Linked DNA regions of Arabidopsis thaliana. The protein of the gene in region 2 interacts with the protein of the main gene of each other region in a pairwise test. Each region holds a gene or a part of one and is shown on either strand. Other genes may lie near its edges.

Region 1 (6,790 bases), on a different chromosome or scaffold from region 2:
TATATGTAACTCTTCCATAACGCTTTTGTTTCAGAATGAAGCAAGAAAATCCAATCAGACGGATGTCGGGAGTGAAAAGAAGAAAATGGAAGCACCAACAGAGACAAAAGGAATCTCAAAACAGAAATGGTTGGAGGGGAGGAAGAAAAAGATTGGGAAACTTCTTGATGCTAATGGTTTAGATATGACACAGGCTTATATGCTCGATACTCAAGAAGCAGCTGAATCAAAATACAAAAAATGGGAAAAGGAACCTACGCCTGCGGGTTGGGATGGTACGTGAAATTCGTACTGAATTGAAACTCTTGTCTCTTCTCATTTGTTATGTTTCACTTCGATGATTACACAATTATTGAGAGGCTAATGTGTGAAATGTTGTATTTATCTTCAGTCTTTAACCAGAAGACGTTATACAACGCATACAAGAAACGGACAAAGAACATTCAGGTTGATCTGGAGGAGTATAACAGAATGAGAGCAGCTGATCCAGAGTTTTACCGTGAGGCCTCAAGCTTGCAATATGGAAAGGTTTGTGATTTGTCGTTTTTGGTCAATGAGAGACTCAAATCTAAAGTAAAGAGTCATAGAAAAGCTCAATCCTTTGTTAAACTTTTGCAGGCTCCAAAAACTTCGCAAGATAAGATAGATAAGATGGCAAAAGAGCTCTTAGACAGAGAGCAAAAGCGACAAGAGTTTAGCAGGAGGAGGAAGTTCCGGGAAGAGAAGGATATCGATTCCATCAACGACAGAAACGAGCATTTCAACAAGAAAATCGAGCGTGCGTTTGGGAAATACACGCTGGAGATCAAAAACAACTTGGAACGAGGAACTGCATTACCCGACTAAGCTACTTGAGCTCACATGTTGGAAACAAGGGAATGGATTTCTGGTTCGAAAGTAAACTATGCTGTTGTCTGATTAATTGTCCTTAAATTATCCTTCTTGAGAGAACTAAATTGTAGAATGAACGTTTCTTTAGCCCACTTTGAAATTCAAACAAAATTTCTGTACCAGCTCTCGCTAGAGAGAACAAACGGTAACAAGAAAAAAGTTTTAGCTTTTTACTTTTTCTCTTTGTTTCTTTGTCAAAAATAGAATCAGCTGATGTAGCCAAACTCGAGGACACACAACTTTGGTAAAAGAAAATGTTTTGAAGAAATCTGCTTAAATTTAAGGTTTGGGTACGAATTCCGGTTATTATCGAGATGGATAGACTAATGTGTAAAGTGGTCTATGGTGAAGAGTGTGGACCCTTTAGTGTGGTGGTCCTTTATCTTTTTCTCTTCATCTCCGTCTGCTTTCGAGCCCTTTTCGAAATTTTTGACCTCTTTATCAGAAGGACCACACACACTTCTCTGTCTCTACAATTCTGAAAAGACGAGACGTGATAATGCTTATTGCTAAACTCCAATCCTTATTGCATGCCCCAAGGCTTTAGCTATTATAGTCTATTATTATTCTAACTAAGGAACATGTGTCAATATGTCATATGTGAGTGGTTTATGATCCGACCACCGGATAAGAAGAATCAAGTAACATAAGACAAAAACACCAAGGAATGTTTTATACGAACATGCATGTGGGTTCATATAAACTTGTAACAAATGTTTTAATTCGTACTAAAGTATAAAAGTGAATCATAAGATGCCCTACATGAAAGAAAGCAACGGACAAAGATGAATTAAACCAAATTAAACTATGAAAATGAATAAATCCGATTACATCAAATTAAAACACACAAATATCTCTCATTAAGCACACAAAAAAAAAGATCTCAAATTGTTCTAAGAAGTCTCATGAATCATCAATTGGTTGGGTTGCTGCGGAATGAAGCCAAAGCTTTGATTGCTGCAGCTCTCAAGATATATTGATGGTATGCTGCTGCTGCTAATGCTCCCACGAATGGTCCAACCCAAAAGATCCACTAAAAATTCAAATCCATTAACCCAAAACTTAATTAGTAATTATTCAACAAAAAAATAAGTAAATTGATTGTTAATGAGAGAGAACTATATTTACATGGTCGTCCCAAGCTTTCTCATTGTTGTAGATAACAGCAGCACCAAAGCTTCTGGCTGGATTAATCCCAGTTCCAGTTATGGGGATAGTAGCCAAATGCACCATGAACACAGCAAACCCTATAGGTAACGGAGCCAAAACCTATAAAAATAAAAATATTCAAAAGACTTTTTCAGAAATTAAACAAACCCATGTGAAATCATAAGAAAAAAAATTCAAAAGAATTCAACTTGTTAAAAATTACAAAAATCCATGTCAAACCCTACGATAAATATTCAGAAAAATTCAAGTTTATTAACTACACAAACCTAAATACCTAGAAATATGTTCAAAAATTTCAATCATGAAAAAACAGTAAAGAAAAACCCATCATGAAATCTATGAAAAATTTAGAAAAGAATAACTATTTTTAGAAATTACACAATCACATTTTGAAACCATGAAAGAACAGTAAAAAATTCAGCTTTAGAATAATTATAAATTATACAAAACTGGTTTGCAAAGTTTTACTAACCGGGACGTGAGAGTCACGGGCACTTCTTTTGGGGTCAGTGGCGGAGAAGACAGTGTAAACCAAGACAAATGTGCCAATAATCTCAGCACCAAGAGCAGTTCCGGTGCTATAACCATCAGCTACGGTGTTAGCTCCGCCTCCGAGACGTTTATATGGAGTCATCATAAAGGCCTTAACGAGTCCAACTCCACAAATGGCTCCAAGACACTGAGCCACCATGTAAGCAACTGCTCTAGGGAGCGACACTTTACGAGCCAAGAACAGACCAAATGTCACAGCTGGGTTAATGTGACCTCCTGCAAGTTAACAACTCCATATTAAGTTGTTGAAGATTAAGGTTTAGTAATTTTAGGATAAAGTTTTGTTGAAATATTTTACCAACTTGCTAAAAAGGTATTTTACCAAACAAAAACTTGCTAAAAATGTATCTTTGAATTATAAATGTATCATTGCTAAACAACTTCATATTAAGATCTTGAAACTGAAGTTTATGGAAATTTTTGTGGTTTTTGTGGAAATATTTACCGGAGATACCGGCGGTGCAATAGACGAGGACAAAGATCATGCCACCAAAGGCCCACGCAATGCCGAGTAAACCAACACCGCCACAAGGACCGGTTTGGTTCTTGTGGCCAATGACTGTAGCTACGGTTACATAGAGGAAGAGGAGAGTGGCGATGAACTCTGCGATGATAGCTCTGTAAAAAGACCAGAGCTTAAGCTCAGCCATGTCTAGAAGTGGAGCTGGAGGTGGATCCACGTAGTCTTTGCCATGTCTTCCTTCTTCACTCACTTCTTTTGACATTTTTCTTAGCTCAGCTCTAAGATTTCTCTCTCACTAAAAAGATTAGTTTCTCTCTCTAGTTATGGAGATTTCTTGCATCTTGTGTGTTGCTTTATAAGAAGAGAACATGGAACATAAGGGTACTTTTGGAATATAGGTAATAAATACATTTTGTTTATAATCAAATGGGAGACCTACAAAACCTAAAAGCCAGTCATATCACAATATCCAGGTTTGTTAGGTTTGTAATACTCTGAAGTCTGAACACTCTCATGTAATTGCAATACTCTCAATTTTGTGAAACACACTCCTACATTCTTAAAACCGTTTTCAATCTTACTAGTAATACAAAATACTAATAACCAATGCATGACATAAAAGCTAAATATTGTATGTACTGTAACATTAAATAACATAAATATAATGAAAATAAAACAAAAGCCATGTCGTGTCGTAGCTTTGGTGTAATGAATAAATAAGGTAAAGGAGATTGAGAGTACAAATTGGTGGGACATAGAAGCCGTTGGTCCATGTGAAGGTGAGAGAGATTTGTCATCCAACTAAATGACTAATCACCAACGGTTATATTTCTTTCTTTTCCCTATTACTATATGAACATACTCTCTTTCTTTTGTTTCTTTTTTGGACATAAGTTTCAACTATCTCGTCGTATATTACAAACTATCTGGTGTTTTACAAAAGTTAATTAAGAATTTAAACATTCGTTTCTAACCACTAAGACCATCTCCAATTTGGGCCAGCACTAGCCCGTGCCTACGTGTATGATATTGAAAGATTGGCCTACGGCCTATAATTACTACAAAAAATCAAAGACATATTTTATGAGTAGAAAAACTTGAATCACAGCTTTTTTTTTTGTGTACTATCACAGCTCTTAGTGAAAGAGTTAATGGAAGTTTTCAAAAATAGTAGCTAAAATAAAAAAATATGGAAATATAAGAATAATCAATTGGTAAATATCCTTTTCATTATATTTGTTTCATCTAGTATCATTTTATTTTATTTTCAAAATAAACAAAGCATGTTTTAGAATTTGACAAACCATGCGCAGTTTGTAACTACAGTAAAACCTCTATAAATTAATAATGTCAGGACCAAAATTTTTTTTAATTTAGAGAGATATTAATTTATCGATAAATTAATAATTATTAATTTATGGAGATATTTTACAAATTTGTAATTTTTTACAAAAATTTGATCTAAAAGGTAGTTTCTCTATACACTCAATAATTTTTCTAAAAATCAATTACAAGTAGAAAACCTTTATTATGTTTAAAACAAAAAAAAAACTTTTTTATACGTAGTAAAATAATTAGAATTAAATTTTACACAGAATTAATATAAATTATATAAATTGAAGAAAAATAATACTAAAGTCATATTTTACTAAGTTTTACATAATATTGATGAGACCATATATTTACATAGGATTTTCAAAAAAATTATTATCTTATTAATTTATCGATTTGTATACATTTATACACTGGTCCCAACTCGGGACAGGAAGAATTTATTAATTTATAGAGGTTATTAATTTATCGAATATTAATTTATAGAGGTTTTAAAATAGACTTGAAATTCTAGATTCATAATTATATTTTATTTTGAATTATGTTTTCGATTATTTTTTCTACCCTAGTTACTCTTTTTTTGGAAGATGATGGCTATTAAATTCTTTAACATGAATTGAAGAACGAAGATCCCAGCCTCTATATAGGTATGCCTAGATCTAGTTTGTTAGTATTTGTTTGTTGATCCTGACTTCAAATTCGATTATTCACTGTGATTGCTTTTATGCCTCAAGACACTTGAATCGCATAGATCTTGCTAAATTTGGATATCGAGTATGTAGAATTTTGTTGGATTGATTAGGTTCGGTCGAGATGTCTTTGATATTTATCTGTTCTCCTCAATTTATTTTTGTATAGCAATTAAGCTTTGTACTTACAGAAGCAGCAAGTTGACGCCAAAAGTTAATGACTCGAATTGTGCATGTGTTGTACATCACAATTTTGATTAACTCTTATACATGTGTTATGAATCATAATTGTGAGTTCGAAGGAATAATTGGATTATATGCCCAAAATCTTAAGAAAATTGTAATTAAAAATTCAGAAAACGATAATAAAATAATTTTATTAATTAGTTAATACAAATATTATTTAAATTCAAAAATTTAACTATTCATATCAACAAATTATATACTCAAAAATTATTATGCCTATGTGTTTAGACTCCAAAGCTAATGTAGTAGAAGAAAAACCACCAAAGCCTAAGAAGAAGAATCGAAGGCCAAAGAAGAATATGAAGAAGAATGAGACCTCCAACAATGTCAATAGGAGAAAGAGAAGAAGAAGAAGGAAAAAAAGAATGACAGCTCACCACCTTCTTTCAATGTCAACAACTTCGGTGATTCTCAGTTTCATAGGTTCTTCTTGAACCATTGTTGTCTCTCTCTCGCTTTGGCATTCCATCAAACACATTTCGTGCTTGACTTTTTATTTTTCTTCTAACTCCCGCCAAAAGTATTTGGGCCGTACTACTAGGCCTTTACTTTTGTTTCTTTGACGGAACGTTATGACTTTTCTTTTTGGGGTTTATTACCAAAATGAACATCAATTATCTCTATTTATGGGATCTCAAATCTATGAATTTCTCTCTCTAAAATGTTTTCTTGTTTTACAATTAGCTTAGATTTGCTTAGTAAGATAGTAAAAAGATCACAGGGCCTGGGCTTCATTCCTCATTGCCTATAACTCTCTCAAGTCTCAAACCAAATCACCTCGTAGAATATTTGCAACGCAACCAGTGAACCGAATCATATAGGGCTTCCCAATATGAATTCTACAACGTTATTATCTTATTACAATCTCATAATCCTACTAGGCATGGAGTCTAAACCGAATCATATATGGTTTGCAATTTATTCTCAAGCCTTTTGTTCTCCAATCTCCCCTTTCCTTTTAACAAAAATTAGGTAGGATCCGGACGGATTAAATTGTATACTTGAAATTCATTTTTCATTTCGTTAACACTAATATGTTTGATGTATGTATGTAATATAAATAGAGAATCAGTGAAGCAGTATAAATTTGTTGAGTTTGTCTATATTTTGACAACTTGCTAACTCTTGATATTCAAATTTAAATCAAACACATATTATTACTTTTTTTTTACAATGTATTAAATCATATAAGGTAACATAATTTTGTTTTTCTAACATGATTTAGTTTTTTAAAGTAATCATCTAATTACATAAAATAGAATATTTTTCTATTTTATAATTAATTATATTCTGTTTTATAATTAATTATAAATCCTTATCATTTTTATATTTACTTTTCTATTAATTTACGTGTAAATGTCAAGTAAAGAGATGGAAATTGTTTTGGTCATATTGTTTAATAAATGATTTCTATTTTAGTTTAGTTTTTCAGTTTCTATAAAATAAT
Region 2 (9,358 bases):
TACTTCTTCTTCGAAACAAAAAATAGGATGAATTAGAGCAGTGCAAGTATAATTTGAAGTCAGTACATGTGGAACTTTATATATGCAAAATTTTTGACTGCTATGCATAAATAAAATTCATCCTAATCCTAGTAGTTTTCAAAAATGGAAGAGAAAGTGACCATTCATCCACCGAATAACTTTATAAGATATAAATTGCAACAAAAAAAACGAAGGAACTCAGACACAAACATACTGGCGGGTCGGGTGGGAGACTCTGATGCTATATGAAACTTGTGATAGTTCTGAAGAATTTCACAAATCTCAGTAGGCCTAAGCCACCTGTGTTGGGCTTCTGACAGCAACTGTTCCATATCTGCAAACTCATAGAAGTAAAACATGTATCAGTACTTAACACTTTTTTGAATCTGGGTACAAAATCTTCCGATAACACTATTACGCTACCACTAACAAAATATGAACATTCCCAATGAAACAGAGCAATTCAGCCTTAAAGCAGAAATTTCAAGAGCATAAATACATTATTTCGTCGCAATTTCAGATCAAGCAGACAAAAAATAAATTCGGACAAACATGTGGAACAACACCAGTAAGAAAAAAAAGAAGTGAGCTAAGTTCCTGTCTAATGAATAGATTCATTCGCCTACCAAATGTCGCAGCAAGAAAAACTCAAAAATATGGCAAAATAAACGTAATTTCAAGCTAGCAAAGGAACCAAACAACGGAGGGAAATAAACAGTGGAGAAGGAAGAGAAAGAGACCTAATTGGAGAGGAGGAGTTATAGAGCCAAAAGATCTGCGATCCACCATAGATGGATAAACCCAAAAATCCACCAAAAGAGATCTTAAGCTTTCGTAATCAAAAAGAGAATCAACGAACCCTAACCGATCTGAGTATGCATGAACTGAGAAGCTTATAATCTTGTTTCCTTCGTTTCGGGCTATATCCAGGTGTGAAAACGATACCGATTTTTTTTTTCCTTTTTTTATTGAAGCGAGACCGAGGAAGAGAACCGAAGTAAATCGCTTTGTTTTTAAACACTGATTTGGACCACGTAACCACCAATAAACCTCCGACACGTATACATGTCAGATTTGTCTGGCCCATCAAGTCTTTTTTCTTGGGCAATCAAGTCCATTTCCTTGAATTTAATTATTTAAACTTTTTTCTAATTCAAGATTGATGTCAAATGTCTTTTCCCTCTCTTTCCCGCGGCGGCGGATCTGGCAGTGGAGATTCTCAGATCTTGGTGGAGATCTAATAAGTCTATCAGATCCATCATTGATGAAGCTAAGTGAATATCAATCATCATCATCATTGTAATATATAAACATTAGCACTTTCATGAGAAACGGCAGTGGGGGACTAGCCATTCTCTTCTTGTGGTTTCGAGTCTAGGCTTCAGACTCCGTTATCATAATCACAGATTCCTAATTCATAGCGCAAAAACGAGATTCTATGGAAGTAAAGATGTAAGATTCGGGGAACCATGAAAATTCCTGAAATCAACATAGGCAGCTTTTTCCTCTACTAGATGCTCTATAGATTGGAGTAGTCAAATACTCGGATTCTTCACAACAATGCAAGAACATCAACGCAACATACAAATTTAGATCTATGGACACGAATAGAAACTACGTTTAAAAGAAGAAAGAAGATACTCAGACCATGTATGTCATACCGACCTGCATCAGATGCGACTGAGGCACACTCAAATTTGCGATCCCTCTCCTGCAGTTTTTCCTCAGGAATGTGTAGAAGTAGTTTATGACTAACTTCTTGATGAACCATGAATCTTTTCTTGCTCTTATATCGCCATGCCCGAGAAGATACACCACCCCTGATTCTTTCGCTTTGTGTATGAACGATAACTCTCTCTCCAGGCTTTGCTCAGCTTCAGATACAGAGGAGTCAGATGATGTGTCAAAGGGATGGTGGTTTGTGTGATCAGATGAAGTGTTCATTTCCATGATCGGTTTGTTTAAGTCTCTGTACTCAGAGAGAAGGGGAACCCCCATCGAGTACATGCTTCCGTTGGGGCCAATTACGACTCTAGAACCTGGGAAATCTTCCTCTGAGTCTGAATCATCGTTCCCGTCGCTCTCCAAGGAACGTTCTTGTGCTTCCCTTCGGATGAATTTCTCGAGGCTCTCGATCAGTAGCTGCTCAAATGCTTGGTGGGTCTCCTTTCTTGCGTCTTTATAACCATACCTACACCACATATAACACAAAGAGTGTTTATATTCGATTTGTTCAGCAACGAAATGGAACAGAATGAAGGAGATAATATGTTCTTGTGTGCTAAACAGTGGCTCTAAGACGTACTTCTTATATAATACAAAAAGAGAGAAGGAAATATCAGATCTACAGACTTGAGTAAGAATCTCTACGTTAAGTCTAATCAATCATATATGAACCATGAAAATTTGATCACTGAAAGGGAAAAACAGACCAACCTGGCAATGCAACGGAATAAGTGATAGCTTTTGGTGCAGACACGTCTGAAGAGGAACCTCTCATTCTGTGGTACAACTGGAACCGGGACATATTTTATGCAGACGAAAATGACCATGGAATGGATTGCAGGAAGTGTAGTCAGAAAATGGCCAAATATTGCCGGTACTCCCTTCACTAACTCATTGTACAGCAAACCGATACCAGGAGCTCTTATCGTTCCCAGGTTGCACCCAAGTTCTCTCATTAAATCCATTGACAGCTTTTGTTCGACTTCTGTTTCATACCTGAGCTTACTTCCATAGTTCCAAATATACATTATACCAAACATGATTACGGCAAAGACCAATATTATCCAGCTTCCATCCCCAACACTCGCTATGACTGATGAGAAAAAGACTAATTCCACTCCGAGAAAAACTACCAGAAAGGCAATCACGATTACGATGTTTATCTGCCATATAAGAAGCATGATTAACGTCACTAGAATTGTAGTTGTCATCATCACTCCTAGCTCAGCCATCCCTGGGAAATCGAAAAAGAAAATCAAAACGGGGGAAGCATATCGGATCACCGAAGCTAGACAGGGAAGCATAGAAAACAACTATTACCATATGCATTTCCAATCTCATCGATACTTGAGATTGAGCAGACGACGACCAGGCAAACGGCAAGCAGGAACCAGTTTAGGACAGGTATATAAATCTGGCCCATAAATTTTCGAGAAGTGTGAATAATTTTGAGACGAGGGAAACAACCCAGAGCTGTTGACTGTTTAATACATGAAAATGTTGCAGTCGTCATTGTGCGACTGGCAATCAGAGCTGCAATGTTGGCTATGAAAAGGACTGGCCAGAATGCAGAGCCTACAGAACGGAATGATGAATCAATAACTTAATACTAATTTGAAATACAAGTTTCTAATCCACACCACAAGAACAGCCTTTGCAGGGAAATCAAAGTGGTTTCATTTGCCAAAGAGGCATGTATATTACTGATTGAAGGAAGCAGCTGAACTTTACCTGGAACAGATGAAAAGAAAGCTTGACTAGCATCCGCATGATTCTCCATCAGGTATGCAGCTTGTCCCATATAACCCAACATGAGGCACGGCAGGACAAGACACACAAATGTAAGCTGCAGAAAACCACTACGAAATAAATTAAAGTTGCAGAAAATTAGTGGCAAAAAGTAGCATACAAAAAGAAAAAGATAAAACATCAGCCGCCAAAGGCTTTCTACTCTTCATTTACCTGGACTGATCTAACAGAAAAGTAGCAAAGGTCTGCAAATAATGCCTCTGAGCCTGAAAGATAAAGATTATATAACATGAACAATCAACAAAGAAAGTGTCACAATATTAGGCGGATTATTGAGCATAAAAAGGCTTACTTAGTTCAGTTAGCCATTGCTACAAGAGTAATCTAATTAATTTCTAATGAAATTTAAGCCATCCAGCAAAAGTGAAAAATTACCTGTAGCACAGAGAATGCAACCTCCAAGTGCATACCACGCATTTATAGAATTCCTCTTGAAGAAGTAATAGATGTGGACAGGGTTGAATGCTCTGTAAACACTGCTATCGTATTTGATCAGGTTGTAAATTCCAATACCAGCAAGAGAACAGAACCATATAAGTAAGGCAGGACCTACTACTAGTCCCATCTTACTCGTCCCATATTTTTGTAGACTAAAGAGGATCACCAGAAATGCAACTGAAATCATCACCACTTGATCTGCAAAGAAGAAAGAAGAGAAAGCTGAACAATAGCAAAAGATACAATGAAAAAGATAAAAAGCCAATACCAAAAAAATTCAAATTTAATTACACTATCATCTGCATTACCTTGCTCAACTACATCAACTCCGACCTTAAGTCCACCAACAGCTGACATTACTGCAATATAATCAAGTAAGTCGGATAAGTCCATATGGTAGTAGAAACCCCCTGTGCAATAAAACAAAATCATGCCTATGAACATACTTAGAAGAGGTTATATAAGAACCTGACATTGCAGGAGTTACAACCCCATCGGCAATCACCATGGAAGTTCCAGCAAGAACTAGCACGAGGAGAATTTTCTTCAGAATTAATGAATTCTCGAGTTTTTCTTTTAGTTTCAATGATCTCTCAAGCTCAGGGCAAGGCACCTTCAGTCTAAAACTTGAAATTCGGGTGTCTGAGCGAAGTTGGTTTGGGATAAGACTAATCTTGGCATGACGAGAGATTAATGAGTATAACGCAAAGGTCCCCCCTGAATATCATAAGTAATCAAAGCAGTTGGCACTGTATGTACAGAAAAGATTCAAAGCAAGATTATATTTAGAAGATCAGAATAGCTTAAAGCGTACCTTCACCATCATCATTTGCCCATAGAACAACAAGAACATATTTAATAAGGGGGACCAAAAGTAAAGTGTATAAAACTAGTGACAGTGCTCCAATAACATCTTCTTTTTCTTGGACAGGTGATTTACTGAACATTACACTGAACGTATACAACGGGCTGGTTCCTACATCTCCAAAGACAACCCCTAATGTTTGAAATGCAAGCAACACTTTCCTCCCAACGGTCAAGTCCTAGCAAAGTAAAAACACAAAAAAAAAAGTTTGGTTAACTATGCAGAGAAAAGTACTGGCTCACAGATACAAGTCATAGATCTTAGATCTAAGATCATCCATCATTATTTATCTGCAGAACTTGCAAAAAGTAGTAGCCGTAGTTACGCTTTAGAATCAGAAAACAAATATCCACTGCTCTCAGACCGTGCATCCCTTGCAGGTTTCCATCCCAGGACACAACCATCATTAAGGAAAACAGATCAAAACAACATCCCAAACAAAATAGATTTATGAGCCCATCTCCATCACTGCAACTTGGAAGAATCGCACACTAGCTAGTCACAAAGCATTCCTGATTCCTGTTCCTAATCCATAATTTCCACATATTGCTAAACTAATTTTGACTTGATCTCTTATGGTACTTCCCTATTCAGTGGCCCTTTCTAGTTGATATCCGAGCTCTGGCAAAAACAGCTAAAAAGTGACTGTACTGTTTAAGAACCTAAGAAGACACACATCATGCTAGTCCATCACTATATATGTTGATATGAAATGCACTAATACACGAAACTATCAATCACCTCGTAATCATTTCTCGGAGCACCAGGAACTTCAAGCGCTTCCACGTCGAAGGAATCAACACGTGGACCAGTACGGATCAGGCGATGCTCAGGTATCTCGTCCTCATCGGATTCGAGTCCAGTACCGTCGAATCCATCATTATCATCGTCAACGCCGATCTCGGAATCATCATCGTCTTGAATAACCCATCGAGACTCGATAGAATCCATGGATGCCATATCTCCAAAACCACCACCTGAGCTATCGATCTCTTCTTTTTCAGAACCTTCCATACTGCTTTCCTCCGCCATTTTCAGAACTCTTAGATTGCAATCAAAGCTAAAGTAACCTCCGAAAGTTTCGCAGGGTCGATCAAACGAGAAGAATCGTAGAACTAGAGTTTCGCATCCGATCAAAAGTTCTCAGGAGCAAATAAAGATTTTTCGACGAGAAGTCTTGTTTCTTCACTGCCGATTCATGCCGATGTTCTCAATCTCTGCTTTACCAGTTCGCTGCTGAACCGGTCTGATACAAACGTGACATGTTCTGTACCGGAAGTCTGAACCGGTTAGATTGTGTTATTGGTCAACGTTTGGTTTGAGACTTTCTTGCTTCATACTGTGAGAGTGTGTGAGGATTACGATAACCTCTCAGGCTCTGTTTCATAATTTCGTTTTCTTTCTTCACAGCTAATTTTGTTCATACAATTATAAGATTGTCCAAATTTACTTTCATCTCTATAATTTCTCATAAATCAATGAGAAAACCAATAAATCCAAATATATTTATATAAACTCATGTATGATGTGCTTACTTTCAAACTAAAAACAACAAGGGAAATATTTCAAGACCCTGTGTTAGTCAAAAGTACAGACAAACGAAAATTAAACTTCTTCAGTAGCAACTTCAGAAACCACCTCTTTATATTCCTTAGTCTCTTCATCGTACCTGTACCTGCACGCATATTTTGTAATCAAACACATAACCAGAATTGAGCTGATAATCGAAATTATGAACACATGAATAAAGAGATTAGTAATGGGTTTTCAAAATTCTAAACTCATCCCAAGTAAATTTTACCATTTTCCGGTTGTTGCGTAGCAGTAAAGTCCAGTGTTCGGGTCATAATAGTAACCAAGGCTGCTGCTGTAGTAGTACCTGCAAAACCATTTATAGAATACTTTTAGATAAATAAAATTGAGATTCATAATGAATATTGCTAGCAACACAATACTTCGGACAAAAAGCTGACTTATGCAACAAGAGAGCGCGAGAGGAGAGTATATACAAACATACCCTGAAGATTCATCAAACACATAATCAGAATTAAGCTGAGTGCCCGAGATGGAGCTAGACGGTTGTAGATCAGAGGAAGGTTCAGGAGCATTCTCATCATCGCCAAACATATCACAAGATACTATATTGGCAGTCCCATTTTCTTTCGCTTGAGCTAGTCTCTCATATCCTTCTAAAAGACCAACATAGAGAAGAAGAATGTGAAAAGTCAAGCCAATTGTTCCCGAATGTTGTGAAAAGGTGATATCACAAAGCAGAGGAAACGTAGCTACATCTACAGCTGATATTGAAAAAGTATTAGAATCTCTAACCTGCTTCACGTTGGAAAACTTCTTGCTCCTCATGATAAACATCTTCAATACATAAAAAGAGGAACACATATATTAACAAATGGAGGACATCATATTTGTTGTTGAAGTAGCATAAGTTATTAGAGACTTACTGTAGTCGCCGTTCTCGATAAGCTTGTCCGCATCCTCAGTAAGCTGATCAAAGATAAGCTTGGTCTCAGATGTCATCTTCTCCTTGCGATTATTCGAATTCCCTTTCAACCTCCTTAAAGCTCGCAAGACCTGTAACATGAAACCGATTTATTTTACGTGTTCGAAGTATGTATAATCAACAATGCTATATTAAGGTGACATTTTTAACTAATACAATCCATGTTTCATGTTTGAAACAAAAACTTGTTAAAACGCAGAATGAGTCTCACCGTTTCTCCTGGTTCAAGGACATTAGCAATGCGCCTCTTTCTAACTCCGATTTCATCTTGAGAAAGGTCATCCCCTGCTTTTTCGTTCCCACTATCATCATCCATCTCAGTATCATTTGCAGCAGATCGTCCCATATACATTGGATTTTTTTCAATACTGTCAAGCCATGCATCCTGAAAGAAAACACATATAATGAAAGACAATACACAAGATATCTTGGAGCTAAGCTTTACAATGAAAGATGTGTACCTTGACTTCCTTTTCTCTAACATATTCTACAAAGTTCCCATCAGCATCAAAGTAACCTTCTTCTTTCTCTCTGTCCAGACTAAAAGCTTCAATCTGGATCCCATCTTCTGTGCGATTGCCATCATCCTACAATGAAATAAATCACATCAGCATAACTCTTTTTGCAAACAAACATCATTGAGATCTCGCAATATACACAATTAGCTTCCAGGAACAGTCAACAAACAAAAAGAGGATAGTAGAAATCCTACCTCATAAGTCTCCTGAGCCTGATTAATATCATCACTGTCATCTTCGATAAAGAGCTTAGTAGTATTCTGATTGCGAATCTTTGCACGCTCCTTAGCAGCATCACGGGCTTTGCGGCGGGCTAAAGCTTCTTCCTCTAAGAGCTGTTCAGGTTTCGACTTCTTCCCCTTTGGAAACCGTACTCGCTTTTCGCTGCCAGAGAGAATCCTCCATTAGAATCCACATTATAGCGTATGCACACAAACTCAAGTTGTAACTGAGACAAATTTCAAAGCTGATTAATACTCCAAGTTCAAGACAATCATATGTTTGGCATTCAATTTCAGGTTCAATGTCTAAGTCTAACAAAATTGAGGAGAAGAGAGAATCAGATGGAAGAAACAAGAGCTACTAATTCAATTTTTCCTACCCTAAAACTGAGTCAATCAACCGGAAACGAAAAGAAGAAACACGTATCGTCATGCTTAGCAGAACAAAATTGGAAATTAGGGTTTTCGGAAAAGATTGTAAACTTACGGAGGTTGTTTATCGGAATCTTCATCTTCTAAGAAGGATCGTTTAAGGTTCCTCCTCGACGAACTATCTGCCATTGCACAAGCGTTAGACGAGAACAACGACGATTTGTTTATTTCCAGGCGGTGAGAATCGCCGTCGAGGGGAAATAAGACGAAAGCATGAATTCTCGCCGACGTTTACAAATTGGGCCGTATTAATGGGCTGAAAAATGGGCCTTAAAAAGCGCGCTTAACGTTTGGAATTACTATGTCTGTTTCCTTTAATTTACCGGTTTACTTTTTTACCATGGTTAGACTAAAACGCCGCCGTTTTGGCACAGGCCCTAATTTATGGGTTCTCTCCTTAATTGGTGATCATCCTCCTTCTCAAGCTGTTGGCCGTCATTGAACTTGGAGTCACAGGTCAGCTTCTGATTCTTAATTCTGTGAATTTTTCGTTTCAAAATATTAACCGAATACTTGAATAATCGTAACTAAATATTCTTCTGGGGTTCTTTTTATTTAGTCGAAGTGTTTGAATTCAATTGCAATGGAGCAGAAACCACCAGTACGGAAGGTTTGTGTTTGCTATCATCGTTAACTTCTCATGTTAGATAAAATATTTGGCTCTGCTAAATTTTCGATTTTGCGTTCTTCTGCAGATGAAGTTTGCCCCAAAAGCTCCACCCAAACGTGTGCCAAAACCTGAAGTTAAACCGTAAGCAACACTAATGACTGATCTGATTAACATAAACAGATGTTTTTCTTCTGAAACTTT

What was found. Proteins that work in one complex are often made in the same cells at the same time.
Region 1: the proteins of KUP7 (region 2) and PIP2;8 interact in a protein complementation assay, tested with the Arabidopsis thaliana proteins (one large-scale study listed by BioGRID).

The regions. Positions count from the first base shown.
Region 1 is NC_003071.7:7,298,195-7,304,984, reverse strand, and holds PIP2;8 (plasma membrane intrinsic protein 2;8), read right to left. Parts: upstream 3,652-6,790; 5' UTR 3,339-3,651; coding exon 3,059-3,338; intron 2,830-3,058; coding exon 2,534-2,829; intron 2,161-2,533; coding exon 2,020-2,160; intron 1,925-2,019; coding exon 1,805-1,924; 3' UTR 1,476-1,804; downstream 1-1,475. Other genes in the region: AT2G16860 (GCIP-interacting family protein), read left to right, coding at 35-275, 392-528, 619-846. UniProt on the Arabidopsis thaliana protein: Aquaporins facilitate the transport of water and small neutral solutes across cell membranes.
Region 2 is NC_003076.8:2,912,909-2,922,266, reverse strand, and holds KUP7 (K+ uptake permease 7), read right to left. Parts: upstream 6,117-9,358; 5' UTR 5,891-6,116; coding exon 5,600-5,890; intron 5,037-5,599; coding exon 4,808-5,036; intron 4,711-4,807; coding exon 4,462-4,710; intron 4,353-4,461; coding exon 4,302-4,352; intron 4,192-4,301; coding exon 3,931-4,191; intron 3,762-3,930; coding exon 3,709-3,761; intron 3,593-3,708; coding exon 3,478-3,592; intron 3,322-3,477; coding exon 3,067-3,321; intron 2,981-3,066; coding exon 2,458-2,980; intron 2,213-2,457; coding exon 1,663-2,212; 3' UTR 1,444-1,662; downstream 1-1,443. Other genes in the region: EICBP.B (ethylene induced calmodulin binding protein), read right to left, coding at 236-355, 762-980, 1,368-1,374; AT5G09390 (CD2-binding protein-like protein), read right to left, coding at 6,464-6,533, 6,660-6,737, 6,876-7,047, 7,187-7,228, 7,318-7,447, 7,588-7,761, 7,838-7,963, 8,089-8,278 and 1 more; AT5G09380 (RNA polymerase III RPC4), read left to right, coding at 9,131-9,157, 9,243-9,298. UniProt on the Arabidopsis thaliana protein: Probable potassium transporter.